Drosophila melanogaster: one gene and its partners. The protein of the gene in region 4 binds, or shares a complex with, the protein of the main gene of each other region. Each region holds a gene or a part of one and is shown on either strand. Other genes may lie near its edges. The genes, in order: Nprl2, Wdr59, Iml1 and Nprl3.

Evidence for each region.
Region 1: Nprl3 (region 4) and Nprl2 share a complex: the UniProt entries of both Drosophila melanogaster proteins name them as parts of the GATOR complex.
Region 2: Nprl3 (region 4) and Wdr59 share a complex: the UniProt entries of both Drosophila melanogaster proteins name them as parts of the GATOR complex.
Region 3: Nprl3 (region 4) and Iml1 share a complex: the UniProt entries of both Drosophila melanogaster proteins name them as parts of the GATOR complex.

Annotation. Positions count from the first base shown.
Region 1 is NC_004354.4:16,880,389-16,887,438, forward strand, and holds Nprl2 (nitrogen permease regulator-like 2), read right to left. Parts: upstream 3,978-7,050; 5' UTR 3,853-3,977; coding exon 3,676-3,852; intron 3,614-3,675; coding exon 3,107-3,613; intron 3,019-3,106; coding exon 2,464-3,018; 3' UTR 2,296-2,463; coding exon of another isoform or gene 2,222-2,295; 3' UTR 2,131-2,221; downstream 1-2,130. Other genes in the region: CG4872 (uncharacterized protein), read left to right, coding at 1,067-1,862, 1,933-2,130, 2,222-2,295; Polr3I (RNA polymerase III subunit I), read left to right, coding at 4,213-4,220, 4,298-4,412, 4,476-4,628, 4,688-5,128; DENR (density regulated protein), read right to left, coding at 5,226-5,413, 5,579-5,840, 5,930-6,049; CG4880 (uncharacterized protein), read left to right, coding at 6,579-7,022. UniProt on the Drosophila melanogaster protein: An essential component of the GATOR subcomplex GATOR1 which functions as an inhibitor of the amino acid-sensing branch of the TORC1 signaling pathway.
Region 2 is NT_033779.5:11,088,117-11,096,977, reverse strand, and holds Wdr59 (WD repeat domain 59), read right to left. Parts: upstream 5,535-8,861; 5' UTR 5,412-5,534; coding exon 5,100-5,411; intron 5,037-5,099; coding exon 4,826-5,036; intron 4,770-4,825; coding exon 4,486-4,769; intron 4,426-4,485; coding exon 4,252-4,425; intron 4,197-4,251; coding exon 2,343-4,196; intron 2,216-2,342; coding exon 2,141-2,215; 3' UTR 1,882-2,140; downstream 1-1,881. Other genes in the region: Ge-1, read left to right, coding at 1-213, 277-442, 503-1,025, 1,101-1,290; CG16854 (uncharacterized protein), read right to left, coding at 6,559-8,620. UniProt on the Drosophila melanogaster protein: A component of the GATOR complex, which functions as a regulator of the amino acid-sensing branch of the mTORC1 signaling pathway.
Region 3 is NT_037436.4:1,529,253-1,537,066, forward strand, and holds the start of Iml1 (increased minichromosome loss 1), read right to left. Parts: upstream 4,783-7,814; 5' UTR 4,657-4,782; coding exon 4,605-4,656; intron 4,550-4,604; coding exon 4,242-4,549; intron 4,182-4,241; coding exon 3,693-4,181; intron 3,636-3,692; coding exon 3,031-3,635; intron 2,971-3,030; coding exon 2,799-2,970; intron 2,737-2,798; coding exon 2,328-2,736; intron 2,271-2,327; coding exon 2,139-2,270; intron 2,008-2,138; coding exon of another isoform or gene 187-2,007; intron 1-186. Other genes in the region: Ir62a (ionotropic receptor 62a), read right to left, coding at 187-2,007; CG12091 (uncharacterized protein), read right to left, coding at 6,344-7,309. UniProt on the Drosophila melanogaster protein: An essential component of the GATOR subcomplex GATOR1 which functions as an inhibitor of the amino acid-sensing branch of the TORC1 signaling pathway.
Region 4 is NT_037436.4:13,997,939-14,005,782, forward strand, and holds Nprl3 (nitrogen permease regulator-like 3), read right to left. Parts: upstream 3,943-7,844; 5' UTR 3,852-3,942; exon of another isoform or gene 3,707-3,851; 5' UTR 3,689-3,706; coding exon 3,555-3,688; intron 3,496-3,554; coding exon 1,797-3,495; 3' UTR 1,442-1,796; downstream 1-1,441. Other genes in the region: CG17359 (uncharacterized protein), read right to left, coding at 225-1,244. UniProt on the Drosophila melanogaster protein: An essential component of the GATOR subcomplex GATOR1 which functions as an inhibitor of the amino acid-sensing branch of the TORC1 signaling pathway.

The DNA of each region.
Region 1 (7,050 bases), on a different chromosome or scaffold from region 4:
TTAGAAGAATTCTACATTAGGAAGGGCGGTACTTTTCGCCCAGTGCATGGAAACCCATGAAATTGCCGCGCAAAGGTCAAGTCAAGTGAAATTGGTTGGGAAAAAGGCGAGAAAGCATGCGACGGAGGCGCACAGTGAAGAAATTATGTCAAAATTTGAATTAGCAGCTGGGAAAATAAAATGGCGCGACCAGAAAGACAATGGCGGCGCATAAATTAATTTCCCTATCAGCTGCAGCCTCGGAAAAGTGCATTCGCTTTTCACTTTCGTGTCGCCTGCTGCGGCTCCGAATTGGATTGGTCTGGGTGGGATTGGATTGGAGTGGAGTGGAGTGGACGGGTTGTGTGGGCTGTGGTTCAGTTTCCAGCTGTTTGCGAGAATCGTTTCGGGGCGATAAAGCCGTTGACAGAAGCGGTTTCCCTTTTTGAGCGCTGCGGTTTCGCCCTTGGCGTGCGGTGAAAATGCATTTTCCCAGCGATGCCGAAGAATGGGGAAAACTGCATTAGAAATGAGGAAAAACAGTCGCCCGTGAAAATTGGTTTTCGGTTGGTGGTTTTTCCCACTTCAGATAATGGTCTTTCCTGATTTAAACCGAACGTCATTGTTTTTTCTTCAATACGTTGAATATTATCAAATAATGATCACCTTGATCTTTCAATTTAAAATTTCAACGCTTTGCATCATCAAAGTTATCGACTGTTGATTTCGATAGGTGTTTAAATGATAGTAACGGTATTTTTTAGTTAATTTTTAAGTTTAAGTCAACAGTGCTGCCAAGATTTCAAACTAAATAAGCTTTTGTAAGACAAAAATGTACAATGAGTCCAATTTTCAAAATTGATAGAGTACAGTCACAGTATTTAAGCTTAATATATTTCTAATATATATTATCAGAAATTAAAACATTGCTTAATATAGTTATTTCCACAACAATATTCCTAAAACCTGGCATCCCTGGTCAGTGCATTCTTTGATCGTTAGTAAGATACTAAGTTGCATTCCAATTATAATTAGAATATTTTAATTTGCAAGAATTACTTTGTTTTAAAACCATTTCATTGCCAATATGAGCAGCTCTACGCCAGCTTACTACAATGCGGATGCTGTGCGTCAGGTTCTCACCTGGCCGCTGGTCAATAAGGCAGTGGAATCTGCACTTGTAGCTATAGTTAAGCAGAATCCGGAAACGCCCTCCACATCCTTTGCCTTTCAACCGAAGAGGACTTTTATTCCATGCGGCAAGGAACCTGGCAAGGTTCTGCTCACCATGCCCGCCTATGTGGGCAACTACAGGCTGGAATCGTCAAGGGATCCTGGGGAAGTGGAGCACACCCACTCAACACTGGCCTGCAAGTTGGTGACCTCGTTCAGTGGGAATCCCCGACGGGATCCTCCGCTGCCCAGCATCCATGCCCATGTGCTGCTGTTCGACAATCAAACCGGTCAACTGTCGGCCATAATGGAGGGCACGGACTTGACCACCTGGCGCACTGTATCCGCTTCACTGGTGGCCACCAAGTATCTGTACTTCAGGCGCTTTGGGGCGCAGGCGGAGCAGGAAAGGAATATCAACGTGGCCATCGTGGGCTGTGGAGTTCAAGGACAACTCCATGCTGCCGCTTTCTGCGCGAACTTCCGGGTGAGGCAGCTTAATCTTTACAATCGCACGCAGGCAAAGGCACTGGGTTTAGCGGACCAACTGCGGCAGAAATTGAACACCGAGAGCGGAACCCAGATTACTGTATGTCCAAGTCCTCACGAAGCTTGCCAGGATGCCGATATCATCTGCATCGCCACGTACTCCAAGGAGCCGCTTATCCAGTTGGCAGATCTGAAATCCAAACGGGCTGTTCATATTAACGGTAGGTCTGCTGTTATAATGGAATGCTGGATGGATGATGATGACCTACCCTTTATAACTTTCGATTTCAGCTGTGGGAGCCGGCGAAGTTCACTTTTCGGAGGTGGCTCCAAAGATTTACCAGCAGGCCAAGGTCTACGTGGATTGCTATGCCAATGCCGAGGCTGAATTGGTGGGATTACCTGCGCCGATCACCGCTGAAGTGGGTCAGATCATTCTGGATGGAAACTATCCCAAGGAGCTAGAAATCAGCATCTTTCAATCCATGGGTGCGTTTTTATTAAGTTTGTGTAACTATATGACTATCTCTGTCTGTTTCAAAGTTGTATCATTAAAAATTTCATACATTTCCTATTTAAGGCATGGCCTCGGAGGACGCCTGTGTGGCCCAGGCGGTTCAGGATTGCATTATCTCTAGCGCAAAGGATTCCTGATTGCTGTCCAGCTGGCAAAGCGATTCCGGAACCAGCCCAAGCCAAACCAGTGAATTCTTAAACTTTAATGTGTATATGCGCGTATATAAAAAAGCATTTGGAAACATAACAATCGGTTCGCTTACAAACTACAACAAACCCAACTGGCCGGAGAAGTCCTTCCGGTCGTCACTTCCAGATCACAGTCACATTCGTGTCCTTCTCGATATCCCGCTCGATGGTGCAGGGCGAGAGGCCCGTCTTGCAGCAGATCTCGTCAAAGCTGATCAGCCCGGTGTACATCTTCTGCCGCCCGGAAGGCACTGAGCCCGTAAACACCGGGTACTTGTGGATGCAGCGAATGAATCGGTGCTGCAGCCCGAAGATCACCATGCGACGCTCATCGATGTTGTGGTGCTGGGGGCACAATCTCTGGCAGATCGCTCGCAGAGTAACGCCGTGAGTCATCGAGGCGTAGAACTGAAAGATGCGCTGAACACTGGGCAGCGTCTTGTCCGGACGCAAGGCCACGTATTTCCGGCATGCGCCGCTCAGTGATGCGCTCTGGATGAGATGCTTTAGGTTCTGCGTCATGTACACGTTGCTGTACTTCAGGATTGGCAGCAGCTGAACGACCCCGTAGTAGACCAGATTCTGTATGCACGACTTGACCAGGTCCGTTTCCACGTCCGCTTCGGCGGCAATGCGGGCAACATGGTTGATTCCATTTATATAAGGCAGGATCTAGAGGAAACCATAACAGTCCAATGGGATTACTAAATTATTTACATCGTGAAGATTGTATAACTATAGAATCAGGAATAGTCCGCACCTGTTGTGTGGTAAGGTCCCAGTTGTCCAGCGGAGCATCGCGCAGGTTCGCCAGCAGCAGGGGCACCATGTGATCCTTGACCGGCGGCGGGTCCGGCTTGTGCATGACGATCTTCAGGTATATAGTGTTATCGCCCTCAACAATGGTGGCCACCTTCCGCTCGTTAAGGTCGCGTAGTACAGTCTCAAAGATGTTCTGTAGGCGGCGCTTGTCATCTTCGCGAGACAGGAAGCACGACTCCTCCTCCATCATTATGAGGTACTCGGACAGCTTCTTGACGACCGGCTCGTACTGGACGCTCCTGGCCCGCGAGTCGCAGACAAAGCATAGGTTAAACAGGAAGGCATTCCGTGCGTACTTCTGCTGATCCTGGATGCCCACTGGATAGCCGACTATCTTTACATCCATTGCGTTGACGGTGAGAATGCAGCGTTGAAGATGCTGCTTGGGTATGATGTAAACATTGATAGCATCGAACACATCCTTGGATATGTAGTTATCAGGAACCTGAGGGACGTGGATTTGTTCGAACTATACTGCGTTATCAGCGCTCCTGGGAACCAGCTCACCTGGCAGCTTATCTTGCAGCCCGCCGTCGCATGAAACTCGCTGAGGAAGATGCACCGGATCTTGCCCTCCGTGCTGCCATGGGCACCCGCTGCTCCAGCTCCTGATCCGCCTGCTCCATTCGTGACCGCGCCCGCCGTTGTCGACGTCGCAGCCGTCTCATTCGTATGGGAATGCATGCCGTTCAAAAGATTCCAGTATCACCGCATCCACATCCTCTGCTTCCTTCCGCGGAGTGGACTCCAAAGCTTTAACAGCAGGTGGCACAATCCAATAACAGTGGCGGAATTCGCTGTAATGTTATGGTAAGCGATGCTTTAGTGTGACCATAGCCTTACTGCAACAAATATACTCCAATGCAAAAACCAATTATAACAAATTTTAACAACAAATTAATTCAACACCATTTAATTTGTTGAGTAGATCGTTTTATTCATGTATAAATTATCTGTTATGTTAATATATAAAGGCCAACTGTAATATGCGTAGGTGGGGTATATTTTAGCGCTCGCTCTGCGGTCATACTAAAATTTGCAGAAATGGAAACGTGAGGATTGTTTTGTTTTTATTTAGTTTTTCCATTAAACAGCGAATAATATGCAGATGATAACGCTTCCATTTCAGGATCAATCCCACGTTCTCGTACCTCACCAATCTGGAGGTAATGCAGATTCTACAGAAGATCAAAAGCACCAAAAAGAAGTTCGGCATGCGCAACTTGGCCACGGTTACCTATGAGGTGTCGATTTTTTTAAATATTTAACTAATATATGATAAATTAACCAAACACTTTGTTCCACAGGCACTGCAGTATCTGGAGGAGTCGCCCTGCAAGACACAAACTCGTGAGAACATTATGAATTACGTTAAAGACCTGTCTTCTTATCGTCTAAAGTCCCAAGAGATCCTGCAAATGATCAACGATCCGCCTACAAGTGCACTACACACGCAACTGGTAAGGATTAGTCTATCATATGCCAGAAAGGCTAATTAAGTATATAATAACCTCCCCAGCTCATCGACGACAATAAAGCTCCACTAACCGATGAGGAGAACGAGAAAATCATTCAGCTGAGCTACAAACACTTCCATGGTGGAGAAACCAAAGGCGCTGCTAAGGAAACACCGGCGGAAAAGCCTGCGGAGTCCACTGCGAAGGCCGGCAAGCAATCTGGCGTAAAGCGTAATGCCCAGGCAAAATCCAATCCAGCGGAACAAATAGCTCCAGCGGACAAAACCACGCCAGGTGATGGAGTTACTCCTGCGAATGTCGCTACTCCTTCAAGTGAAGCCACTACTACTACTCCAGCAGAAGAAGCAAGCCCAGTGGAAACATCGTCTTCAGAAAATAATGCTACTCCAGCAAATGAAGCCACTACAGCGCCTGCAACGGATGCACCCACTTCAATGGAAACCAAGTCCAATCCGACACCAGATGGAGAAAACCTCGGGTAGCAGCCGCCAAAATAACCCATCCGCTTATTACGTTTAACGTTTCATATATTTATGTTGATGGAGCGTATAAAATAAGCTAAAAAAAAAGGTAAATTATTTATGTTCGCTTCTGATCGCCCAAATCCTCGATGACGTCCTCATCGATCTCGGCCCATTTTTCGGGTATGACATCGAACAAGTCATCCTTGACGTCACCCTGAATGACGATCTCGTCGTCTCCGGTAACCGAGGAGCCGCAGGCAAATTTCGTGCCAAAGAACTTGGCGGCCACCTTGAGATCAATATCTGGAACAGACAGGGAATGTATTATGCTTAGTTAACAATAAAGCTCATAAGTATATCTAATATATCTAAGTTACATGGTATGGTAATGGCTACTCATAGCATCCAGTGGGCCCGCATCCCCCTCCATTTCCTACTCTATACTCATAATGTGCGAACAGAACCTACCAAAAGTGCTCAATCCTGTGACCACGGTCACTGACTTCTTTTTGCCACGTGCCGCCCGCGAGACGCAGATACGCTTGGGCACGTCCTCTTTCTTCTTGACGCGCAACAGTCCCTTGCCACCGCGTTTCTGGCGCTTCTTGTCGTCATCCGTCCCGTCAGCGGCGGCAGCCTCCTCCTCAATCTTTAGTCGCTCGAAGTCATCGGGCATGTGGAGCTCCAGCCACTCCTTGCACTTCTCGTACTCCGGATAGTACTCGCAGTACTGCGTATAGTGGATATATATATATGTAAATATATGGGCCATATATGATCCCTAATATGGATTTTTCCCAGGTTTGAAGACGAACTCACCTCAATGGGCATCGTGCAGTGGCCACAGTACTTCATCTGGATCGGATAGGTGACGCCTTCGCGCGGACCCAACTGTAGGCGGTCGGCGACGCTGTTGGTGCCCACATCTTCGTTCGTCATTGCGGATCGGATTAACTGCCTGGGATTTGCTCCGGGTTATTGAAATATTAAAATAATGACAGTTTTAAGAAGTCGGCTACTGCAAACTGACCGTTTTTGTTTAGGCTCGTAAAATATACTAACATTGACACATGTTAAATAAATACCTACCTAAAATATACCTTTATTTAAATCGTAGTACAATTCCGACTATCAATAAGCTAAAATTAAAATTTACGTATTTTCATTAATTTTACATTGATTGAAACTATTTTAATTTATACCTTGTATTGTATTACAAAATACTTATTAAAATTGTATTTATTGGCAGAACAGAAGAATGTTTCGATAGTAAAATACCAAAATATGTTTGCCTATCAAAACAACACTCGTGAAATACTGCATGAAGGAAGCGGCATTTAGAATAATTTGCCGGTTTGTAACATGCAACCAAAGTTTTTACCAAATTGTATCACAGTAGGCTGATAATTGTATTCGAGCACAAGTCAGCCAAAAATATCCAGTTGCTAACGAAACAAGGCTTAATAAAATGGTCACATACAATACTCTAATACAGAACGAAAAGAATGAAAATGTGGTCGCCCCGATAAGCCGGCCATTCGCCAGAAAGAGGAGGACTGAGATTCGCCGCCTGCAGTCCAACAGGCGGTTGAATAAAAAGGTGTGCAAACACCATTTGGACATTGCCCATTGTACCCAGAAGAAGGCTCCATGGCGGAATTGGGCATACCTCATTCTCGCCCTCGCCGCAGGAATTGGCATGTTATTGCAGTTCACCGACAAGTTGTCCACGGTCAGCGGATTCCTGGAAAGCTACAAAAACCAGTACCACTCGATCGTCCACAACCAGGACAACTACTGCAATCCCTCCCGACGGCTGGGCGACATGGTCCTGCACGCCCGCCACCAGGTACTCAACCAGGATCTTGCATTGAACCAGCTAGAACTGGCACTGGACAACACCACCAATGAGGTGACTAGCGGGGAAACAGTAGATTTAA
Region 2 (8,861 bases), on a different chromosome or scaffold from region 4:
TCCGTGCTGCAGGTACTAAATCAGTATGTCATGAACCACTTTACGGACATTATTGGCAACGTTCTCAACATGGAACTGCAGCGCCAACTGCTTCCTCGCGTGAATGCCAACATGGATCAGCTCCAAGCCCAAATGCAAGTGGAGATTGTGCAGAAGCTGAGTGTGTTTGACAAAACGGTGAAGGAGAATATTGCCCAGGTGTGCAAGAGCAAGGTACGTAATCTGCAAGTCCATCTATAAATGCTTATAATTAAGCGTTTTTTTTTCATTACTTAGCAATTTCTGGATACTTTTGGCAAGTCCGTGTTGATTGGTGTTCAAACCAGCCTACAAACCGCCTTCATTGAATCTATGAGCAGCACCTTGATTCCAGCTTATGAGAAGTCCTCGCAGAACATGTTTAAACAACTGCATGACGCTTTCAGCGTGGGCATAAAAGACTGTTAGTATATAATCATTACAATCATAATGGATACATAAAGCTCCTTCTTTTGAATTCCAGTTATGGTCCAGTTTAACACCTACCTGCAGCACATGCCACAGCCCCAAGCCGGGAGTGGCAATACGGAGGAGATAAACAACAAGTTGTCCATGCTTAAGCAATTGGTAGAGAGCAGCTTGCACAAGCACCGCACTGAACTCACGGACGCCATGCTCGAGACACAAAGAGAAGTGAAGAGCTTAGAGATTTTGCTGGCGCGTCAGGTACAGGAAACGATCAGAGCAGAGCTACGCAAGCACATGGAAGCCCAGAACGTGGCAATGCGTTCGCAGGCAGCTACGCCTGCACCACCTTACGACCTCAGGGACAGCATTAAGCAGCTTTTGATGGCTGGACAAATCAACAAGGCCTTCCATCAGGCTCTATTGGCCAACGACTTGGGCCTAGTGGAGTTCACTCTCCGACACACGGACAGCAACCAGGCATTCGCACCAGAGGGATGCAGACTGGAGCAAAAGGTTCTACTGTCGCTCATTCAGCAAATATCCGCTGACATGACCAATCACAATGAGCTTAAGCAGAGGTGAGCTAGGAGAACTAAACAAGTAACAAAACATTACAAAGAATTACATTGATGATGTACCTTTTTCATTTGTAGATATCTCAACGAGGCACTGTTGGCCATCAATATGGCAGATCCCATTACCCGCGAGCACGCTCCTAAAGTGCTCACCGAGCTGTATCGCAATTGTCAGCAGTTCATTAAGAACAGCCCCAAGAATTCGCAGTTCAGCAACGTCCGTCTGCTGATGAAGGCAATCATAACGTACCGCGATCAGCTAAAATGATATCAAGAGAACTATAACCTGGCCAGTGGCTGGTTTTGATAGATTACCCATCCGATCCCCATCCAAGATAGTTAATCTATGACCACAAACACATTTATAAATACACGCTTGTAGTTAAGTCCAAAAAGAAGTTAGTATGCTAAAAAGCTCTCAGCTAAGTTCATCCCTTAAAAAGTTGAAATTGAATCTATGCCTTTCATTTTATTGTTTATTTGTTTTGTGCGTGATTTGTTTATAGTAAGGCCGTATATCTAATGTTTATGTCGCTATATCAAAATTGTATTATCTTTATAATGATTCGCCTACTAAATTGCAATATATTTTTTTATTATTTTATTTTTGCGTTCCTTTTATTTTCCTTTTTATCTTTATGACGCTTAATGAACAAAAGAAAACACACAAAAACAAGAATAGGAGCTGTAGAAACTTATTTAAAAATTATTTTCAAAACTAAAGCAAACTTTATTATGACGGACAAAACAAAAAAATTATTAGATTGCAAATGCAAAAACTACAAGTAAATCGTAGAATTTAAGCTAAAAAAAAAAAAAAAAAACAGAAAGCAAAAGTCGATAATAAAAAAGAATAAATGTATGTACTTGAAAAAATCTAGAAACAGTTCTTTTTGAATTATCGTAACCATATGATTTTGGTTAAGTGTATAGTTGCATAAAGCTTTTACCCTTAGCTTGGCTAGTAAGTGGTCATATATTTCTCAATGGTATGCAAATCGTACAAAAATTGTTGGCCTAATGACTAAAAAACACCTAACTATTTTGATATCCACACAGACGAAAGAAAGTTAAGTAAGATTATTTTTGAAAGGAATGCACATCACTCAAGGTCTGAATCAGCTGAGTAGGGCTAGCAGCTCTGAGGTGCGCTCCAAGCACTTGCAGCCACACGTAGCACAGACATTGTGTTTCTGAAAGTTAAACAAGAAAATAGCAAACATGAATATATTTATATCCATAAATCCATAAATCCAAATCCATACATCGTTTGGTTCGTGAAAAAGAAACCAGTCGAATCAAACTCAAATAGATACCAACCTCAAACCACTGCATCATGTGATCAATGTGACCGCCATGGCCACAAGCCAGACACGCATTGGCTGCTCCTTTCACAGGCAAACGGCAGAGGACGCAGAAGAGTACGGGTCGCTTGCAGGGCTCGCATTTGGGCGTCCGTTTGGGCTTGGCACACTTCCTGCACTCGGTAACGAATTCCACACCCTGGACTGGAGGTGGTGTATTCTGCGTGTGCTTGAGGATCAAAGCCCGCTTCGAAAGCAACTGCCAGCCAAATAAAATTTCGGCATAGGCGCGCTTAAATTGATCAAACAGTGGCATCTTAGTCCGTCTAATCAATGAGCAAGCGTATGCATCAGACTGGATTTGCTTAATCTCCAAATCCAGGGAGTCGGACCAAGAGTTGCTGCGTAGTTGCTTAAGTTGCTGCCAAGTGTTCGATGAAGAAGATGACTTGACGTCAAGCGGCAGGACCGTGTGATACGGTGAAATTTGCGAGTTAAGCTGCGGCGGAAGTCGAACTGTCTTCTCCATAATGGCACCGCCACCCGTGGGGCACTTGTCAAACAAACAAGCCAGCAGCACAGCAGTCTGTATGTCACCGGAGATAGCATAATGCATTATTAGTGATTCCAGCAGAGATTTCTTGAAGGGATCTTTGTAGAACAGCAGATCGTTGAGTGTTTCATGTGGAATTTGGGGTGTGGCTATCAGTTCCGCCAATAGCCACACGGGCACCAAGTCCAAGCGCCCATGCTGGCGACAGATCTCACCATTTTTACGACACGTTTCTGCTATGTTGCACTTATCGAGGGAGAACTCCCGAGCCATTCTCCGACTAATGTGGAGTAAGCTACTTGTGTCGTATACGTGAACCACCGGACTTCCATTCATCTGTCGGATGGCTCGCTGCTTGCCCGGTTTTCCCGAAATCATCCTCTCCTGGAGGTAAAAGGAGGCGTTAGCTTCCCTCTGGGCGGTGGCCATCACATTGCCTAGCAATCCACTACCATTAATCGATGAAAAAGTCCGTGGAGTCAATGCGGTGTGTTGCCGCAGGGTCAGCCTTTTGTTGTTCACTGGTTGGGCGAAAGTGGTCAGCATACCAATGGCATTGAAATGGACCCCTGACGTCCGCGGATATGGAATGCAGGCATCGTGCAGGGTGCTCGACAAAGCTCCTTCCAGCCGAGGGGATTGCAGGAGCAGTTGGCTACGATCCGCTCCGCCTACAGCGGCCACCTTTTTCTTCATAGCCGCCACTAGAGCACGTAGGCATTGTTCCAGGCACGTGCGGGATTTCTTGACCCGTTGCAATGCATTGCAACGGAGCACTTTTAGCAGAACTCCACTAACTTCACTGGACAGAGTGGTTCCCTGGCAAAGCTGAAAGTCCGGCGGAGCACTAGGACTTGGATACGATGTCGTGAAAGTCACTTGTAAAATAACCGTGTGTCCACCGGCGCAAATCTTGAAGCAGGCGTACCGCTTTATGGCATCTAGTGTGTCTACCTCCACATGAGGCATGTTTGTGTTGAGCAGCGAGAATTCGTGGTGCAGCGAACACGTGGGTTGATCTGTTAGTGATCTGGCTATGTGGGGCTCTTCCCTGCGATAGTAGCCACCTCCAAAGCTCGGGGAGCGAGCCATGGGCAAGGTATTACAAGCACCGTCACCCGTGGATATGGGCAACGAAGCGGCAACCAAAATTGATCGTGGATGCAGGAATTCTGGAGGAGTAGGCACTCTTAACTCACTGAGATCGGGCTCGAAACGGGATTCTATTTCTTCCGCAGACGGTTCGCAAAGCTTTAGCATATTATCATCGATCTTCCACACCCGCAGCGTGCGATCCCTGGACCAAGTGACCAGTTCCTAATTAAAGCTCAATGCATAAGTAAGAACATTGTGGTATCTTTAAAATACTTACTATTTCATTGGAACTTTCACGATTTGGACGCCAGGCAAAGTCAAGAATGACATCGGTGTGCCCCACGAAGGAACAAATAGGGTCCGTTTGCTTGCTGTTGCTCCAGAGCAGCAAACTATTCTCTCCGCGTCCCAAATGGGGCACCACAATGCTAACCAGACCGTTGCCAATAGGCTGTATGGAACAAGATGTATTTAGAATAGCAATCAATATTGATAAACCAATATAAATTACCGTGTATCTCGCTCTCCAAACGGGCGACATGGTTGTAATGATCTTCTCGGCCCTGCGAGGATTACATACATCAAAGTACTTGACCGTTCCATCCTGACTGGCGGTTGCCAAGCAGGTCTCCCTTTTGTGGCTCCAATTGATGCCATGCACTCTATTTAAATGTGCTGTGATATAGTGCGTCGGGCAACTACCCTTGCGAATATCCCAGATGCGTAAATCTCCATCATGGGCAGCAGCCAAAAGGTTGCCCGAAACGCGGTTGAATCCCACTTGTGTAGCACCAGCTGAAAGAATTTTAAATATAATATAAAAAAGTTGAAATTATTTTGTAGAAACTTACACATGCACACGGCATTCAAGGACAGGGCTGGTTTCCTGGGCTCCCTTAAGTCCCAAATATGAGAAAATGTGTCTATTGAGCAGCTGACCAGCAGATTCGGATCCTTGCCGTGCCAGTCAATGTCGGTCACTGTTCGAGTATGCCCACGCAAGGACATCTCGTAGTGTGGTTCCGCAGTGCCCCAGCGAACGATGTCTATGTGCTGGCTAGTCTGAAATTCAAAGGTCAAACTGGGATAAACGCCGCCTATACGTAGATAACTTTATGTATTTACCGCTATGGCGCAGTACTCTTTGCGACTGGGACATATGGCAAACTCTGCTACGGACACCTCGTACTTCGATTGCCGTTCATGTCGTCGCAGAGACCCATCGTCCTGTCCCAAACGCTGCAAAGCCAGGTGACCACGGCCCGCGAGGAGCACCCACTGACCCGAGTAATCAACCGACATGGCCGTGGCCTGGGAATCTCGGTGTTCATAGTATTTGTTGCTCTGCCTGACGATGTACGTTTGTTCGGGTGCTCCTGCTCCCGGTCCACCGGCTGTTCCGCGTTCTCCCGGACGCAGTGTCTCCGTGGGCGGCATATTGTCCTACTCTAATAAGTGCTCAAAAAGCAAAAGACTGCGAATTTAAACCATTTTTGCAACAAACAAAAATTAAACGAAGAAACTGAACTGATAAGAACGATAGACAATAACAACAGGCGTCTGTGTTGGCAATTAAGCATTTTTTCCGACAAATGAATTTCCAGGACCTCGTTAAGCTGGCTATTTTTCAATAATGCTGTTGCTATAGTTTTTGATAATATATTAAAAAAATTACAAAATTAAACTAGAACATTATATGAAAAAATTGTACCTAATATTTTGTCGCAAAAGTTTGTAACACCCATAAATCTAGCTGGAATAACGACAGCACAACTATAGCTGAAAATGTTGTTTTTTCGATAGTATCGATAAAATTGTGGTTATAGCTATCGGGATTTGAATTTATGATATAAAACAGGTAAACGAGCTCAGAGCAAAATTTATAATTTTATATATATGGTCTTGTTAAATAAAAACGTTCGATTTTTTTTATAGATTTATTACATTTTATAAATTGTCAATCACCAAAAATATACATGTGCATTGGTTCATAAATGTTATGAAAATTATTAAAGTACGTGGCTAAATATAATTTAGCATCTAAATAAATTTGTAACTAGAAAGGGATATTCCCAATTGACTCATTTATAAAAAGTTCATCCTATTATTCATTTATTAACTCAGCATAAGGCTATAAATCATGAGATACTAAACAAAAAGTGCATTATATATGTATATAACAACTCAATTATGGTCTACAACATTAAGTGCTACATATTTTGGATACTATTATTTATTTATATGTTCGCCACTTCCCTCCCTAGTCAGTAATAGCTTATCATTTATTTTACATACACAAAGTAATTCTGCGGTTATTACGATTATTAGTTCATTCAGTTTATTGTCCTCTAAGTTAGTGGGAAATAAACAAATTCCGCTCAACTACCGTGACTACATAGGTGCCTAAGACTGGGAACTCCTTACGGCAAAGGCTAAAATTGGATAAGTATTTTTATACAAACATTGGCTATTTCATAGAAATAAACTAGGTTTTATGGCTAAGGCTACGTTAATGGGTTTCAAGTCTTTGACGTCAAACACATCCTCCCCATCCCCGAAAGCTCCCAGTTACATTGCCATTGCCTTATCTGTGGCAATAGCAGAACATTTTTAGCGCCGGATCGTTGAGACAGTAGCTCTGGCTTCCGTACAGATTCAGACGACTAATGGTGCCCGTTAGTACGGTCGTATAGCCCGTCATCCGCACCGTGGACTCAAACACACCCAGCCCGGGCTTCGTCTGCAGTCGCAGGGTGATGTCCACTGCGTAGTCCGTGGAAATGTTCTTCACAATCTTCGAGTGCGGCGCTGCAATCAGAGCCTGGAGTATGGAGTTCAGGTATAGGGTTCTGCACTGTGAGCTATCCTTCAGTCGGTTATTGATCAAGCGTACCAGATAGCGCGCCGCCCGCTGGACACGTGGATCGTTTGTCTGCAGCTCCTGGCGCTGATGGCAGGTGCACCAGTGGGCGGCAATCCCTGCCTGCTCGCAGGTCCGAGCAGCCGGGATGGGCAGGAATAGGCTAATGCCTCTGGGCAGCGTGCTATCCGGCTCGTCCATCTCTGTTGATCTGCGTTGCAACTGATCTGCCTCCAGATTGTGAAGATTTAGCAGCTGCAACATTGTCGCGTGCACATCAAATGGTGTGGTTAGCCGGCGGGCATTTAACCTAAGATTGGCAATTGCCTCCGGATAACGCTCGGTCATCCATGGCGGATACAAAAGCATCATTAGGGGCTGGCGCTCCTCCATCATGCCCTGGTAGGTACGACGAAAGGAACCCCATCTCAGTCCGTGATCGGATAGCAACATTACCACCGTGCGATTGAGCAATCCGGAATCTTGCAGCTGCATCAACTGTTGCAACATGGCCTCATCCAGTAGTGAGGGGAAATTAAAATAGTCATGGGTTAGGGCCACCGTCCAAAAAAATGAAAAGTAAAGATCCCTGCTCATTCGTGGCACCAATTTCTTCATATACTCGAGCAGCACATCCGCCGTCCTCCGGCTGCCCATGCACAAGTGCATGTTGAGGTCCTTCTTGAAGGCCACAGTCTTTTCCATTTCCATAATCATGGGTCGCAGATAATAATCCGTTGGCTGCTTTCGGAACCCATTTTGATTGTAATTGAATGCCGAGAGCATTGCCACATCCTCGGCGAAAATGGAGCGATAACCCAGTTGCTGGTAGCGTTTCCAAATGAATGAGCACCTATCATAGGATCGCAATGTCTTTGGCGTGCAGGCCAGATTCAGTTCCTGATCATCCAGGCCACTTAGCAGGGGCACGAGATTGGGAAACGTATTGTCGCCCACCTTGTTGTAGCCCCAAAATTCCACGTGGGACAGATGCTTACGGACGTAGTTCGCTGTGCGGCGCATCTGGCGCAGGAAATTTAGATGCGACAGGCTATCCATGCCGAGTATCATTACGGATAGCCGTTCCTGCTCCTCCTTGCTCTTGTTGAAGCTCACCCTATCGGTTCCAGTCTTAAGTGGGGGCCTAATCCTTGGCTTATCGACTGCAAAAAAATGACAGTCCTTGTAGAAGAGTTTGTCCAGTGAATCATAGCACCACATGCAAATGAACTCCGAGCTGAGAGGCAGTTTCATAACTTTGTCCAGCTTAAAACTCACTGCCGGACTGTGGGTGTTACTAGAATCGGTTTTGCGCTTCACCTCCGTATAGTTGCAATTAACGGAGGACAGGTCACTGATGTTGTAGTATGCGAGCAGCTCACTGGCCTCCAGATTGAGATGCAGCTGTCCGGGAATTGTGTCGCTCGTCCGGATCAGAGCTCTGTTGCAGCTGTACGGACGTGGCTTGAAAATGAACTGGGCAATGGTGTCGTCGCTGACCTCAAAGTGTGGCATCCGGCAGCCCGTCGTGTCAACGAAATAGGCCGTTGTCACATTTCCACCATAGTGGTCCTCGATGCGGGCCATAAAATCGAATCCATCACGGAAACGAAGTAGTTTCGTCCTCAGATTGTAGTCCACACATAGGTAGGAAAACACGCAGAGGGCGAAGATCACAATCACAACCTTCTTGAATTGTCCACGGTTCTTGTTCATGTTGTAGTAGCGATAGTACTGCTGTAGGTCCCTCTTGGTCATAAACTTCGGATCCAGCAGATATTTGCTTCTGTTGAATAGCAACAAGGAAACGATTAGATTGATTTGTATGTCTAACAGAAAAAACTAAGGAAAGGTGTTTGAAAAGTTTTAGAAAGATCTTGAAAGGTTCGATTTATATTTGATTAGGATATTATTCATAGAATCCAAAGAGGAGATTTACCAAAGGAATTCAATATTGTACGAGCATACTATCATTACTTAAAAAACTCCCTATAATCCTTTTCAATAATTTCCTTAATTAATTCGGG
Region 3 (7,814 bases), about 12 Mb from region 4:
GATGGAATACGTATGTGATGGGTTGCAAATTTCGATTCGTTGGTTAGATCCGATTGGATTTCATTCGTGGCGTTGTGGAATAAGGTGAAGGGGAATAAGGTGAATCATACGTTAGATTAGATTAGACTTAGTATTCGTTTCTATTTCGAGAGGGGTTTCTGGTTAGGATGAGCTACTTCGAATGCATTAATCCCCGGGGTTGCGGTTAATGGACGGTGGCTTTTGTCTGCACCCGAAGCTGTGACGGATCTCCACCAGGAAGGCGATTCCGCTGCCCAACATTCCGCACAGAAACAGACTGAACGCGGGCACCAGCAGATTGAGCGCCAGTGGGCGGAGCCTCAGTTTCTCCTCCAGCTCCGCCAGTGTGGAGAAATCCTTGAGATAGCCCATGCGATGGGCCTTGCGATAGCACGTATCCAGCCAAAGATCATGCAGCCCGGCTTGCTGCACATGCAGCAGGAATCGATGGAGGGCATCCTTGAGATGTGAGTCTACCCTGAGCTGGTACTGATAGGGAAAGGAGCCGTGGCAAATCTTGGAGAAATAGAAGCGTTTCTTTCTCAGAAAGCGCTGCTGCATATCGAAGAAACGCCAACGAATTGTACTGATGGGGTAAATATACTCCGGATGCATGGAGATTCTCTTCTGGCTGAAGTTCTCGGCATCCGTGCAGCTAAACTTTGTGCTAAACTGCTCGGCATGACCCAGGGAATCAACGATGGCGTACACATCCGTGGGCAGCACTAGAATGCGATACGGCAGCAGGAATAGCTCCTCCAAGCTGTTGTCTGGTCTTCGGATCAGAGTCACGGTCAGAGATGAAGTTAGTTTGGTGCTGTACGTTTGCCCAAGAATGAATATTCCGAAGAGGATCAGAAAGGTACTAAAGCGCCTGACCGGCTTGCGGTTGCCATATCTGACTTGACCAGCACCAGGCACTCCTAGTATGGCCCAAAAATGTCCGTCTGGAATCAGGCGGCGCACATACACGAAGTGCACTACGAGCAGAACAAACAGCAAGCACAGCCACATGGTTAAACTAAATGGCAGGAACACATAGAGGCTCCTCGAAATTTCATTGTCCAATGGGATCATGAAGCAGCGCGGTGCCACCTGCGTGGGATATGAGTAGTCCACACTGGTGTTTGATTGCAGTGTGTCGTACAAGTGCGGACTCAGCTCCACCTTGCCCTTTACAATCAGATCCGTGAGCGCAGCCATATTCAGCAATGAAGAGCCATTTACTTCAAATCTAAACAAATCCATGGTCACGTTCAGGTGCATCATCAGTTGATTGATCAAGATCCCGCCCAATCCGGCCAGTTCCCAGGCCTTCGTCCTGCGATTCTTGTACCAAAAAGTATTGGGCACATCCTGCTGTACGGGCAATCGCATCCTGTAGCCTCTGAAATTTTTTCGATTTGCAGGCGGAAAAACATGATGCGGATCATAGGAGGATAATCTTCGCATGCGTATCACCCTAACAGTGGGATATGGATCCATTTGGTAGAAGTTTCTGGCGGCCACCACTACCAAAGCGCTCCGGAACTGCAGTTTCCACAGGAGTTCAAAGAAGTATTTAATGTCCTTTTGCGACTCCTGCTTTCTTAGCAGGAACATAGTCCTCGTGTAACGCCTTCCTCTGGCTCTTTCGGCCTGCAAGTAAATCACCGCATCCTTGGAATCCCTGGCGAAGACCAAATATATGGTCTCCTCATCCTGCAGGCTGCTGAAGTGGACGTGCGAGGAATCCTTGTCCGTGGCCGTCATCTGCGGCAGCATGTAGAAGTGATTGCTGCTGTTGCACATCAGGCCGCGATGCAGATCGTCCAGATAGCTGGGATCAACAGATCCCAGGCTGTTCACTATAGTGATGGCATGCAAGCGATGCACGCGGCCGATCCTGTCCAGAAACAGAGCCAGCTCGAAAGCGCGGTCAAAGTTTTCGGTGGCCACGATTTGGTAGCGCGACAAAAACAGCGCGAACAAAAACTGAAGATACATTTTCGCTCGTGAACCATGCCAAACTGACTGGGATTTCCATGTACGCCGAGTACTTCAAGTGCATCTCGAATTATTTGCCCCACGATACGATCTCTAAAACAAAACCTGAAAACTGTTTGCCTAACACTTACCCGTGGTAATTGCTGGTGTCCACTCTTGCTCCCCAGTGGCTCCCCAGAGGTAAGACTTCGCCTGGGTGGCCGTCAGGTTGGGCACATTGGCGGGCTGGGGGTTCATCGGCGAGTTTTGACGCCGCTTAAAGACTGCGTATACAAAGCAATGCTAGTCGAGGAGGTTTAACTTTAGTTACTGCTACTCACAATCAATGGGCTCATCACCCATCACAAAGCTCTGCGAGGAGTCTGACTTGTTGAGCAGCGAATGGCTGGACACTCGGTCGTACTGCTCTCCATTTTCGCACCCGTAATCCTCCTGGTCGTTGTTGTTGTTGCTCTGCGTCTGCTGCAATGGTCTCTGCTGACCAGCCTGCGTGGGTTTGGCGGGCACCGCTTGATAATGATGCTGCTGTATGAGTACACCGGTTGGGCCCTTCGGGAATATGTGCGTCCAGCGGCGGCGATTGGAGGTCAGCTTTATTGTCACTTGCGAGGGATCAAAGGGATTGATCAGAGCGCGACCCGGACGCACTATGGGCGCAATGCTAACGATCGTCCTGCGGGAGTTCTTCTCCGAGGCCAGTGACTCGGAGAGGTTGGTTGTATCCGGTTGCTAAAGTCACATAAAAACAGTTCAAAAGTCAGGTAAAAAGTCAGTATTAAGATTTCCCTTACCAAGGCAGCCAGCATTGCAGAGGTGCCGTGATGAATATCGGGATCGGACATCTTGCGCCGCATAGCCGGGATTTGAGTCGGCGTGAGGTTCTCCCAATCGTTGTTCCTATAGGCATAGGTCTCTAAACTGGGCACCGATGTCTTCTTAGCCCGCACTACACGCTGCAGGGAGCTAAGAAAATAAAACCTTGATCAACAAAGCTAAAAAGGTAATTTTGTAGCACAATACTACCAAGTACTCTGAGCGGGGAGCGGCTGGAAGATCTGTTCATCATACGCATCGTAATCAAAGAGCGAGTTGTGCTTATACTCCGACTGATTGCAGCTCAGGAAGTGACGCTCGTTCTCCTCGCCCTCCCCGTCGCCAACGCCATCGTGGAGCGTCAACTGGGATCCAAACAGAGGCAGCTTGATCCGTGGTATGAAACTGGAGTACACAATCTTCTTGTTAGTGGAGTAAAAGCTCAAGTTTATCCAGTGGGGCAGAGAGTAGTCATCGGCGGAGGTCAACGTGGTGTCTTTGTTGTGGAATTTGAGAAGCGGAACCGCATGCAGTGGCTGCTCGCCCACACAGACCAGGTCGCTACCCACGCCATTGTCGATAATGCGCTGCTTCGTGATATTGGTTAGCTCTCGATCCACGGAAAAGACACCCACTCCTGGGGTTATAACCACGGATAGTTGTCCGGTGCGGTCGAACGTTCTATCCAAGTAATGCTTTTCGAAAGTGTTCAGCGATATGTTTAGCACCTCCAAAAAGTTACCCTGAGTGGCTGAAGAATTGGTGGCCGGTGGAATCTTCATGTTCTCCCGTTCGTGGTAGCGCAGCACAGTGGCCTGTAAACGGCGTAGTAAGTTTTTATAATAGAATAAATTAAAACATGGTTAAGTGACCTGGTAGGACGTGAATAGCTTTCGGAGCTGGCCCAAAACGGTACACCAATCATCACAGCGCTCATTCTGGATGGCCACGCGGTAAAAGTCCTCGTAGAAGCGACCCTTGTAGTCCTGCTGCAGGCAGTCGCGCATATGCTCGGGAAACTCGTCCAGGCTCTTGGCTGCGTAGAAGGTGCGGGAGAACAGCACGATGGTCACCTCGTGGTTACAGCTCAATTTTCGCCACTTTTGAAAGAGCTCAGTGAGAAACCCATTGACTGCCTTTTCGAAGTACAGGTCTCCGTGGATGTCAAAGTCCCACATCTCGGAGGACATCTGCAGGAAGAGGTACACCATCGAAGTGCTGCTGCGGAAGACAATCTTGGTGTCCTCCGTGATGACACCGCTGGCCACGCGCTCGCCTTGCGACCACATCTCGTACACCTGGCACCGAATCTGCATGTCGTTGTAGTCGATCTTCTTGTTCACATACACACAGGTGTCCGTCTGAGGGAGAAGTGGTACGTTAAAAGTATATCCTGGTCTGAAAACTGCGTGATTCCTTACCAGGTAGGTCTTCAGGCGCCACATTTCCGAGCGACCCATGTACTGGTCCTTGAAGGTAATCTCTATCGAGTCCAGGGCCACATCCGCCGGCTTAACTATGCGCATCACCACATTGGAGTACGGACGCATTTTGAAGGCATTGGCGATGCCCGATTCTATGCTTATCACATCCCGGCCACAGCTGCCATTGAACTCGGTGATTTGGAGCAGCAGGTGGGTGCCGTTCTCCTCGTCGGGGGCGTAAATTTCTACCACATCGCCCACATTGGCGTTGGGATGATCCTTTAGATTCATCACCAAGTCCGCATCTGTGCCGAAATTTCCGTGTAACGTAATGTTTGCGCAATATCCACTTTCGCTTACCGTAGGATTTGTTGCAGCCACGCGTATGCGTGTTCAGCTTGTACAGCTTCATGTTGACTTAGTGGTTGCAAAACCAACGGACAATTATTTACTCAATTCCAACATTTGCCCATTTGCATGCTAGTAAAATAAAAATTCTATTTTTTCGTCTTTTGTTTTGATTCCTTATCTGCAGAGTGACCGCAGGCATGGATTATTTGGTATTTTCCTGTACAAATATACCGAATTTAATGTTTACCTTTAATTGTTATTGTAATTAATTAAATCACGCAGTTTATTTATATTTTTCAAGGTAGCTCAACACTTTTATCTTTTATTGAAAAACTAACTTAATCTGCATTCCCTGTCAGCTTAATTATTTTCATATATATTAAATTAAATAATGATTTCAGTTACGTAAGCTTTTCTGTTATGTATGTTATTGTGTGATTTGTATTATTCGTCACAAAATTTGAATTACCGAACGTTAGGGGCAACCGATGCTTTCGTCACTAGACTCCTACCAATTCAGCGGGGATTTGGTGCGTTGCTATTGACTGAAATTTTTTTGGCATCTATGAAGCCTTTTAATTTACCCACAAGTGTAGCCAAAAGTTAACATATTTTACAAACTGGCGAAAAACTTTACTAATTAAAATAAATGTTTTTTTATATTATCGATTTAACACATATACAGTTGCGTAAAAAATAGCACCACCATAGCGCGTTTTATTCTAGATACAAATAATTAAGGTTGCACCGAAATAACGCAATATTTTCGAATAAAATTTTTAAAAATAGTTCTGGGTATTTTTCCTATTCGAATATAATAATAATCTGTAGAATGCATATATTTTTTGCAGCTTTATGCTTATATATGTAGTCAGTCTGCGTCACAGAAGCGCAATCGATTTCTTTCAGATAAGACCTTTTTAATTAAAAATGTAATTTCACCTATACTTCTGGAGGAAAATGATTGTTACATCGCATTAAAAATAAACACCCCCACGCTAATCAGTTTGTCCGCTCCTGAATCTATCAATTTCCATCTTTCTGACCATGAGTTAATCTAAGCAATTAGAACGTTCTATTTAAGTTTTCCGTACAGCTTTATTGTTTACACATATTTATTTGCTTAATGAATTTATCACGAAGTGACTACAAGCTGCATTCGTTGTTTTTCATTGAATAAATTTTATTGGGTCGCAAATATCAGTGAGTACATTTCGACAAAAATTGTTTAAAGACAGTTCGTTCGCCCGCGTAAATGGGTAATCCTCCGTCCTCAGTCAGATAGCTGCACTCGACTCGCTCCATTCCGGGTCCACCATCCATCCAGCTTCCATCATCCGGACCCCGGACTCGTATTTATGATCCTCGGCGTCGGGGATTGTTTCGCAATCGGTTGTTTGTTTATTGTTTGTGGTGATTAGAACGCCACTGACGACAGAGATCGCCAGATCGGGCAGATAATTCGCATTCTCTACTTATAGCGAGGGTTATGTATACAATCGAGGCGCGGGTCGCTCACCAGGATGCGTCGAAGTCGATTCGTCGGTTCGAAAATGAGTTTGCTCGTATATATGTAACTAACAATGCAAAGGGTCAAAGGGTCGTCGTCCTCGTCAATCACAATCTCAATCTCAACATGCAGCTTAAACGGTAGACAGAACCACGAAACTGGCTCCTAAAGCTAACTAAACACGTACGGACTACAAGTAAACGTTAATCACTAGGGAGGATGGGCTGGAGCACCACTCTCACATCGCCACGGTGGCCAGGACAACGGTGATGTCGTCCGGCTTGCCGCCACGCGCCTGAATGTTATTCCTCCTGGCGCTGAGGGCGAAGGGCGAGAGGAACTCGCTGTTGAGGGACAGGGTGCGCGCCATCAGCGCCAGGCTGTTGGCCGTCATCTGGAGCTTGACGGGATCGCGTTCGCCCTCCACCTCGCTAAGCACCTGCAGCATTAGATCCTCGGGCACGTTGTCGAACACTCCGTCGGTTGCAATGAGAATCACGTCGCCATCCCGCACCGGAAAGCTCATCGTGTCCGCCGACTCAGGGCTGTCGCTGAGGACATTGGGCCCATGTCCCGGCGGCGGCAATGACAGTTGGAAGGGTGTGTTAAAATAGTGCTGCTGCTCCTCGGACTTGTGAACCACCTGGCCTTCGCGCACCACAACGAAGCCGCTGTCGCCGATGTTGGCCGTGTGCACGGTGCTCGTCTCACGGTTGAGGATCAGGACGCAGGCGGTGCTGCTGCCCAGTATGGGCTTCTTCTGCTCCATCAGCTCGCAGTAGCTGTAGGCCAGCAGGTTGACTGGTCGTTGGGGATTAAAGTGGCTGCACTGCACCAACCGCTCACAGGTGCGCATCAGGAACGATGAAAACTCTCCGGGATCGATGCCATAGCTTCGCCAGCCGCCCACGCCGTCGGCCACGCCCATGACATCGGCACTGGCGGTGGAGGCCTTGAACCATGAGTCCTCGCCGTACTTTCCCGGCTTGTACTTGTGTCGCAGGTTGTCCTTGGCGAAGCCGCACACCACCGACACGAAACGGGGTCGTGGGGCGCCCGAGGATCCTGGTGTCGCTCCCGACTTGGTGGCCCCCTTGGCTGCTGCCCCACTTCCGCCACCCGTGGCCGTTTCCAGGAGCGTGGAGAAGCTGCTGCGCAGGGCGCGAGAGATCGCACGCGAGGTCCAGCTGAGTGACGAGTGCATCGCCCAGAACTCGTGGTCTCGTGCTCTCAATCAATCAAATCAATCGCATGTGGGGGGGTGTCGGATTTGGATTCGTTTTATTCGTTTGTTACGACGTCGGAGTGCTCCTCCTTGGCGTTCACTCCTACACGCCACTCCTCCGCACTCGTTTTTTCCGGTGCAAAACTCCTGTCTCGACGGGGCACACAATTTACGTTCCAATTAAATGCGAAATGTTATGTGATGAAGTGATACACTTTTTCTCGTCAGGTCGCGATCCGGTTCAGAACTGGTTCGGTGCTGGTTCCCCACCCCAACTCTCCGCTCCTGAACGGGTTCCGAAACCATATACACCCTATTGTAGTAGTGTTATTTTCGGAACCAGTACAACTCGTTTATATACACCAACGGTATATATAACAAAAAGGGTGGTAAAATATGCAGCTTTACTTATTGCTCAAGTTTTAAAAAACAAACATATTTTTCGATGCAATTGTTTTTCGCAAGTATTTTTCTGCTGGTATTT
Region 4 (7,844 bases):
CAAGTTAGCGACTAATAATGAAAGTACATATGGAGTGTAGTTTTAAAAACAATTTCATGTTCTCATATTGACAATAAGATAATAAAGAAATGATAATCGGATCGATTCACAACAGTTTTTAAGCAGCTTTCTCACTTTGGTTGCGATTACTAGCTTTGTCGATTTCAAACAAGAAATTATTATATGGACATTCAATATATGAAAATACCTTTAACAAATCTTAACTATTTAAACTTATTTCTTTTTGTTTCTTGGCTGCTCGTCCGTCGCTTCCCTCGCGTGTGTGCTGACATGTGTTTTTGTAGGCCGTTTAGTTGCTTGAAGCTTTGCTGACATTTGGAACATTTGAACGGCTGTTCGCCAGTATGAGTCCGGGTGTGGACTTGCAGTTGCCCAACTTGCCGGAAGCGCTTGGGGCAGTTCGGACAACCGAAGGGACGCTCGCCGGTGTGACAACGTGTGTGGCTCTGCAGGTTGCCCTTCTGGGCAAAGGATCGCGGACATAGGGAGCACTTGTAGGGTCGCTCGCCAGTATGTATGCGCATGTGAATCTCTAGGTTTTGTTTTTGGGTGAACGACTGTGTGCAGAGCTTGCACCGATATGGTCCGGGAACCCTTTTCGGTTTGCCCCGTTTTGAGGCGTTCCAGATTTTATCATCATCTTCGTGTTCAAGCTCACTATCCGGGCTCCATGAGTCATTGTCCGAGTAGGATCTCGCCCTCCTCTTGGACTTATTGTGTGGCGTCTTTGCTGGAGAATAACTTTGCGCGAGCTTATGCTCATTGTTGTCTGGAAGAGGAGAAGATATTGGCTTCGGCTCTGGAGGCATGTACTTAACCTGCACAAGCTCAACTAAAAGAGGTTCGGATGTCTCCGGCGTTTTACCAGCTTCCATTACCGAGACCGGCATCTGTGGTTCTATGTTATCCCCTATATTCAGGCAATACTCTATATCGTCCAGCTCCTTCATCATCAGACGCAGCTGTTCAAAGTACTGATGGCTCTTTCGGCATTGCCGTCTTAGCCGATAGGCATTTCTTACGGCCTCCGCACACTCCACGCAGATGAACTGCGGCATTCCGTCCTCCTTATGCACGCTGCATCCGCTGCATTCCCTCAGCATTGTGGCCAAGACCGGCTCCTGCTCCTGGACCCGATTGGAGGAGGCATATGGCTCTGTATATATATCCAACAGGCAGTCGGATTCGTCCCTGCAAACGCGGCACATTTGCGAAATGTCCATCGTGGCCGAGCTCCAGAGTTTCGTAGGCAGGATCAAAAATATACAATATCAACAAAATGCAACTATTAAAATACCAATCACTGGAATATACCAACAAAAAAATACCGAATAATCAGCTGTGCTTCGCATCTTATTAATTTATCAGCTTTGATTTATGATTTAAAGTTGTTTTTTTAAGTTAAAAATGGGTTTTTCGTATTTTTTAAATATTTTATTTTAATCTGGCTCTTAGAGCATCAGAATATTCCCCACTTATCGATATACCTTAAAGCTGTACAATGGGCGCGAAGCTTAAAATGTAACGCTGTTTTGAATATGAGTAATTTTTTGAATTTGTATGAAATCACGGAAAAACATAGTTTGACAATAATTGAATTGAACTTAAGAACTTGCTTGTACAAATAAATAACAAAATATGTAGTCTACAAGCGTAAATTGATTTGCTTCGCAAACTTTACAAAATTAGATGCATACCTATTTTATAGATTATATTCAAAAACTAAACAAAAACATTCAACATTAAAATCTAGGAATGCAAATTCGTCCCAAACTCTACTTGGTATTGTACATGGATGCAATTGCAGGATCTTCGGTTTCGTAAATGATAAGCACATCCCTGAATTTATCAAGCAATTGCAGCAGTTGCGAACGTCGCAGGTTCTCGAAGTACATGATCTCCTCCAGATGATGCTCGCTCTTAAAGTAACCCATCTGATACAGCTTCACAAGCAGAGATAGATCATCCACGTTGGCAGAGGCGGGAATTCGACGGATGGCGGCTCGATCCGCATCGCTGAAAACCTGTAGCAGCTCCTTCAGCTTCTGCTCATCCTCCATGGAATCGAGGCTGTCGCAATTGTCCGTGCTCATCGAGGCGGTGATGCTGAAATTGGACTTGTGGCTGGATGATGGCTGCACGGCGATGTTGTCCGAGGCCAGTGATGAATGGTCCTCGGACGCCTCACGACGATGTCCGCCCACCAATACCGCTGGCACTGGCAACGGATGACTGGACATGCTAAGCATGGAGCCATGCAACTCGTCCGCATCTGGTTCTTGGTCTCCTTCTTCATCGCTAATGGCATCCCTTAGATGGTTGCTGCAGGAGGCCGAATCTCCGAATTCATCCTCGCTGGGCATAAACTGAACGTACGTGTGCAACTGCATGAGCAAATGGTGCTGCAGCATCCAAATCACCATTTGTGCGAGGATACCCTGTCGCGCTGGCTGCTGCAGTGGCGTGGTTAAGTGTCCAATTGAAGTGGGCAATGAAAAATCGGAGATCACCTCGAACAGCGACATACCGGCAAAACGGGCCGAGAACTTCTCCACCAGGTGGGACTTGGTGTGCAATGGTGCATCCGGCGCGATCACATAGACATTTGTCTCGCAGAGTGGATAAATAATAGTTGCCTTAGCCCAGTAGACCAAATGCGAGACGAGCTTATAAACATGCTCGATACTCAAGTCTGCATTGGAGGACATGCTCTGCAGACTGATCAGTGGGTCGTAGACGTCGACTAGCTGCCATAGCATGCGTGCCCCAGTCGGTGGAACGCAGTCCAACAATTCGGCAAAGTCGACCAGCAGCAACATGCCATGATAGGGCTTCAGTGCACGAAGGCACCGATCTATGGTCTCTGGATCCACCATGCTGCCCTTCTTATGGAGCTGGTGTGCCTTAGCGGGCAGACAGAAGCACAACGTTAGGTTGTGATTCAGCGAGGTACTCAGCAGTCCAGTGGTGCATAGATCATGGAAGATGGAGCGCAAGGCCTGTGCCAAGCTGCAGCGCTCTGCAATCAGCTCCAGTGTGCGTTCCAGCGGCTGTTGCTGCTGCTCGTCGTGTGTGCGAGCCATTTGAGCCGTCTGCTCGGTGAGATAGCCACTGCGCTGCTCCTCGAACTTCAGCGCCAGTCCAAGGCGCTTGCTCAGTTCGTGGTAGCACTTAACAATCGAGTAGCTGGCCTGTGCATGCAGCGCAAAAACAATGTTGATGAGCATCTGTTGCTTGGCCATTGGACCACTTCTCTGCTCCTTTTGCGGTATCAGAGTGGGATGACTGACAAAGCGTACGTCGTTCAGTTTGAGTTCAAACTTTTGGTTGCATAGCTGTGGTTTAACAGCAAACAGAGCGGACAGGACCTCATCTGCGAATCCCTGCAGTTGTCCTTGGCTCTTGGCAGCACCCAAGTGGGTGGGTGTCTGCAGCAGATCGTCCGTATTGGCCACGGCATAGGGATTGCGCTTTCTGTGATTGAATAAATCGGTATAGTCAAGCTGAGTGCCCTTTGAATTAATAGGTAGTACCTGGACTTCCGCTGCTCGTCGTTGGCCACCTCCGTTTGGCCGAGAGTCTGGTACGGATACCTGTACAGTAACCGATCCCCCTTGCTATCGAAGTAAACCAGGATTACGGCCAGGGGATTCACATTAGTTTCCATGGCACACAGACACTTCCCCTTTTATGTAAATTAAAATATGAACATTTGCATTATCAACTGGGGTCAGGGTCAACAAATAGTTGGCTATGTTTTCAAAAATACTTTATAAATCGTAGTTTGCTACAGAAACTACCTCAACAACTCTTTATTTATTTATTAGTACCTCAATTTGACTTCATTGAGAAATGGAAGCAAAGTAAATAAATGTAAAATATAAAATATATTTACAGCAGTGTGGCTCTCTTTTAGTTTGCATAAAATACCAAAAACTTATTTAAAATAGTAGTCATGTCAGTTTTCATTTTGCAGGCGAAACAATAATATAAATGCAACGCAATGGAATTTTTTTAAATCGTTTAAATTTACCATAGATACCTTAGATAATATATTCAAAAACTAAAAAATACTAAACGAAAAACGGTCTTACTATATAAATAAATATATATCGGCAAGGCTAATAGTATAGGATCCCTGGTCGAGCGATAACGATCTATCGCTCCGCTGTAGTGTGACCGTCTTCGGTTGGTCAGTCTCTAATTTTTTAGAAGCGGAAAGTTGTGAGCAAAACGTGTGGAAATTGTGCTCGAAACGTCAACAAAAAATTTGTGAAAATAACTGGGAGCGTAGTATGCGAACGCGGCAATCGCAGAACTATGAAATTCCCCTGTGAAACATGTTAGTTTGGCTGTAAAAGCACTTTTAAAAATGACGATTTCTTATTAGCGTGTTGGAAAAGAGGAAAACACACACATTGTGAGAGGCAAAATACGTGCGGATCGTAGGTGGGAGCGAGACGACGCTAAACGTGTACTAGCCGCGGTCTATATATACATATATATAATATTTGTGTGAGTGTAGGAGAGGTATAACTAATTCTACAAAAAAATATAGTTTACTTGGCTGAGTGGTTCGCTTCTGAATTAGTTTCGCACTCTTCGGCAGTATGGTGGCCAATAAGTTAATTTCAACTAATTGTCATTTACTTGTAGGTTTGTTTTTCTACTATGTCTTCGTTTCTGTATCTATTCCTTGTATTTTGGAAAATAGGATTAATAAGTGCCTAAAATGTAAATAGCTTGTGGTTAAATAGTTAATAACATAACTATTTTACTTTTTGTGTATATGTGCGCCAACATCCGTGTGTATAGATTTTACACATACCTACGTAGAAAGGCATGCACAGATATACGTTTGTGTGGGTATCAACGAATAGGCGGAAAGGCGAAATCGAAATATGTACGTACAGCATTTCGGAATGGCCAGGCGCAGTAGTAATAGGCTAAACAGGGAAACAGCGCAACACAAAAACCAAGAAGAAGAAGCAGGGCAGGCGAACAAAATAAAATAGGCGATAATAGTCAGTTGGCATGTCTTGTCCATAGGCTAGAACGGTCACACTAGCTATATGGTCTGCTCAAACCGACTGGTCGTCTCGCTCTTACACACGTCTTAAGCAATCCCAGTTTATGTGTTTTCCTGCGCGTTTTGTCTTCTGCTTCTTGTGCCATACGGTATTAATAATAATAAAATTGATTAATCAAAGTAGAAACATTTTAATTTGTGCAGGTAGTAAACGTTCGAAACAACGTCGCGCCATCACTTAAATGCTGCAAATCAACAATGTGCAACGGAACAAAAAAGAACCAGTGTTAAAGTGTATACAAATTTAATTTGTATTTATAAAATTGAAATATAAAGTTTCGAAATAAAAAATAAACCACGTAGCTTGTCGTTAAATTAAATTAAGTTGTGCAAAATGAAGTGAAAATTCAAAATAACAGAGTAAACGGTGAGTAAAACTAGTGTGTGTGTTTGTATGTGAGTGCGCGCCCAAATCGGAAATATTTTGAATCGAAAAATATACAGTCGAATGGGTTATACATATCTATTGGATCACATATATATGAAATTCAGATTTTATTTTGAGTCGAGCCAGTTAAATAAATATTTCATTTGTTGATGCGTCGATTTTGTATGGTTTTTTTTTTTGCATACTGTGTGTCGCCATATTTGATTGCATATTCTTTTTTCAACTAACCGTCAGTATAGCGTGCTCGCTCGCACAGCTTTGCGGGTTCATTTGTTTTGCTTTCGATTCCGTTTTGTGCAACGTGAAGGTAGATGTGCGTATTATGCCCCTCGCACAGAGTTGCCAACCCGAAGCAATTGTTTTGTTAAATTTCAAGTTGTTTTTAGTTTGTTTTGCTCGAGTTTCTAAGGAGATTATCTAAATCAGTATTAAAATCATATTTCGATTTGGCACACCCCTCCGCATTTGGATTGCAATGTGTATGCCGTGCAGTGTTTTTGTTGTCTCTACCAAAATTTTGACATGCGCATCAGCTAGTCGGAAAAACTTAACAACAAATCGACCGCAAAGTGAAATTAAAGTTGATGAGAATTAGTTGAACGATATCGACGACGCCATGTTGTTCCCATTATCCAGAATGTTAGCACAGAGCTATATAGTTTTTATTTTATTTTCTTTCGCCCTGTTTTCGTCAAACTTTTTATTGCGTGCTCCAGCGTTTACACGCCTGTACGCCGTGAAGTTGGCCGCAGTTAACATAGCTAAGTGTTAGTGTGTGTGTGGGGAGAGCTATGGTGGTCTCGCTCTCGCTTACAGGCATTGCTCGAATGTTCCTGTTCTGCTCTTTGCGCATACGTGATTTTTGCAATTGTTATTTATGCCTTGTGCTTTGTACGCGCGAATTTTCGCCACAAAATGAAAGCAAAAGTTGATAGACAACTTTTTGCCTGCGCTCGGCTTTCGTTATTTTCTGCGCAGCGCAGACAAGACCATCGTCAAAATATTATTTCGCGAAAGCTAAGCCATTCGATAATTTCAAAGGTTGTCGCGGAACGAAACCAAACCGCCACAACCCCCTAAAACCACCTCCCAACCCCACAGATTTTTTTAATGGTGTAATATCCATAATAAAATCCCATGCAGTCTCAATTCTTGATTAGTAATTGACCGAATTAGACGGACCAGAACTAGCGAGCAAGTGAATTAAAATAAGACGCAATTAAAGTTGACACTTTGTAGCTGGTATGCAAAAACTAAAACCCATTTTACGCTTGGCGACTGTTTCAATGAAAGTACAGCCAAAGCAATGCCCCTGATATTGTGCAGTCACGTAGTCCATTGGTCAACAAGCTAATATGAGCAGCATTACTATTTTTAATTGTAGGTTCATTTTTATTCCGTAGATCACAATAGGAGTCTTTCTCTTTTCGACTCACTCGTTTAGATGTGTGCGTCTGCGAGCCTCGATAAGCTTTGTATTTGTTCTACTTCATCTAGCGATGCAACAAAAGCCATAGCAACAAAAAGAAATCCCCAACAAAAACGACACGAAAGCAGTGGCGGATTAAAAATCCTGCTTGCGGGGAAGCTCTCGGAATTTAAAGAAAACAGCAAACAAAACTTAATTCTTTCGATAATATTTTGTTGATATAATGAATTAGATTTTGGCGCATATGTATATCCCAAATGAACCCCCTTGGAACCGCCCCTGTACGAAAGCACCGTGGCCACTTTTCATGTGTTTGTGTGCTCGCGATAAGTTTCAACGTGCATTTGCAGGCACGATTTACGGGGATCTGCTGCTGTCTTGCTCACACCCACGAACCGATAATGCGCGCGAATGGGGCTTATTGTGTGAGCTTGTGTGTAATTTGTTTATGGCGCGCATTTTACTTGCGGATGTTGTTGTTGTTGTTGTTGTAGTATTTGTTGGGGTTGGGGTAGGGTTGGTCCCGCACACGTGCGTGTGTGTGAGTGTAGTTCACCTTCTTTCCGACGATGAGCGAACCAAATTCTCCTTCGCCCCTCGCTCTTTCGTGTGTATTTTTAACTAAGAGCATTGTAAGATTCTTTCTAAATGTTGAGATGTAGCGTCGATGCTAGTGTGTGTATTTGTAACCCAAATCAAAATTTACGACAGCCCCAACCGCTCTATGTGTGGCGTTATCTTTTGTGGCCCATTGAGAAATATGAAACAAAACATGTAACGGAAATGAGAAATGCATACCACAGTCACTATCAAAGAGTTCTAAGCTCAACATCCTGGCTTATCAAAACGCAGCTTGAAGTTGAAAAATCAGTTTTATCGATTAACCTGGTGGTGGCCTTTACATATGTAGTTGCATC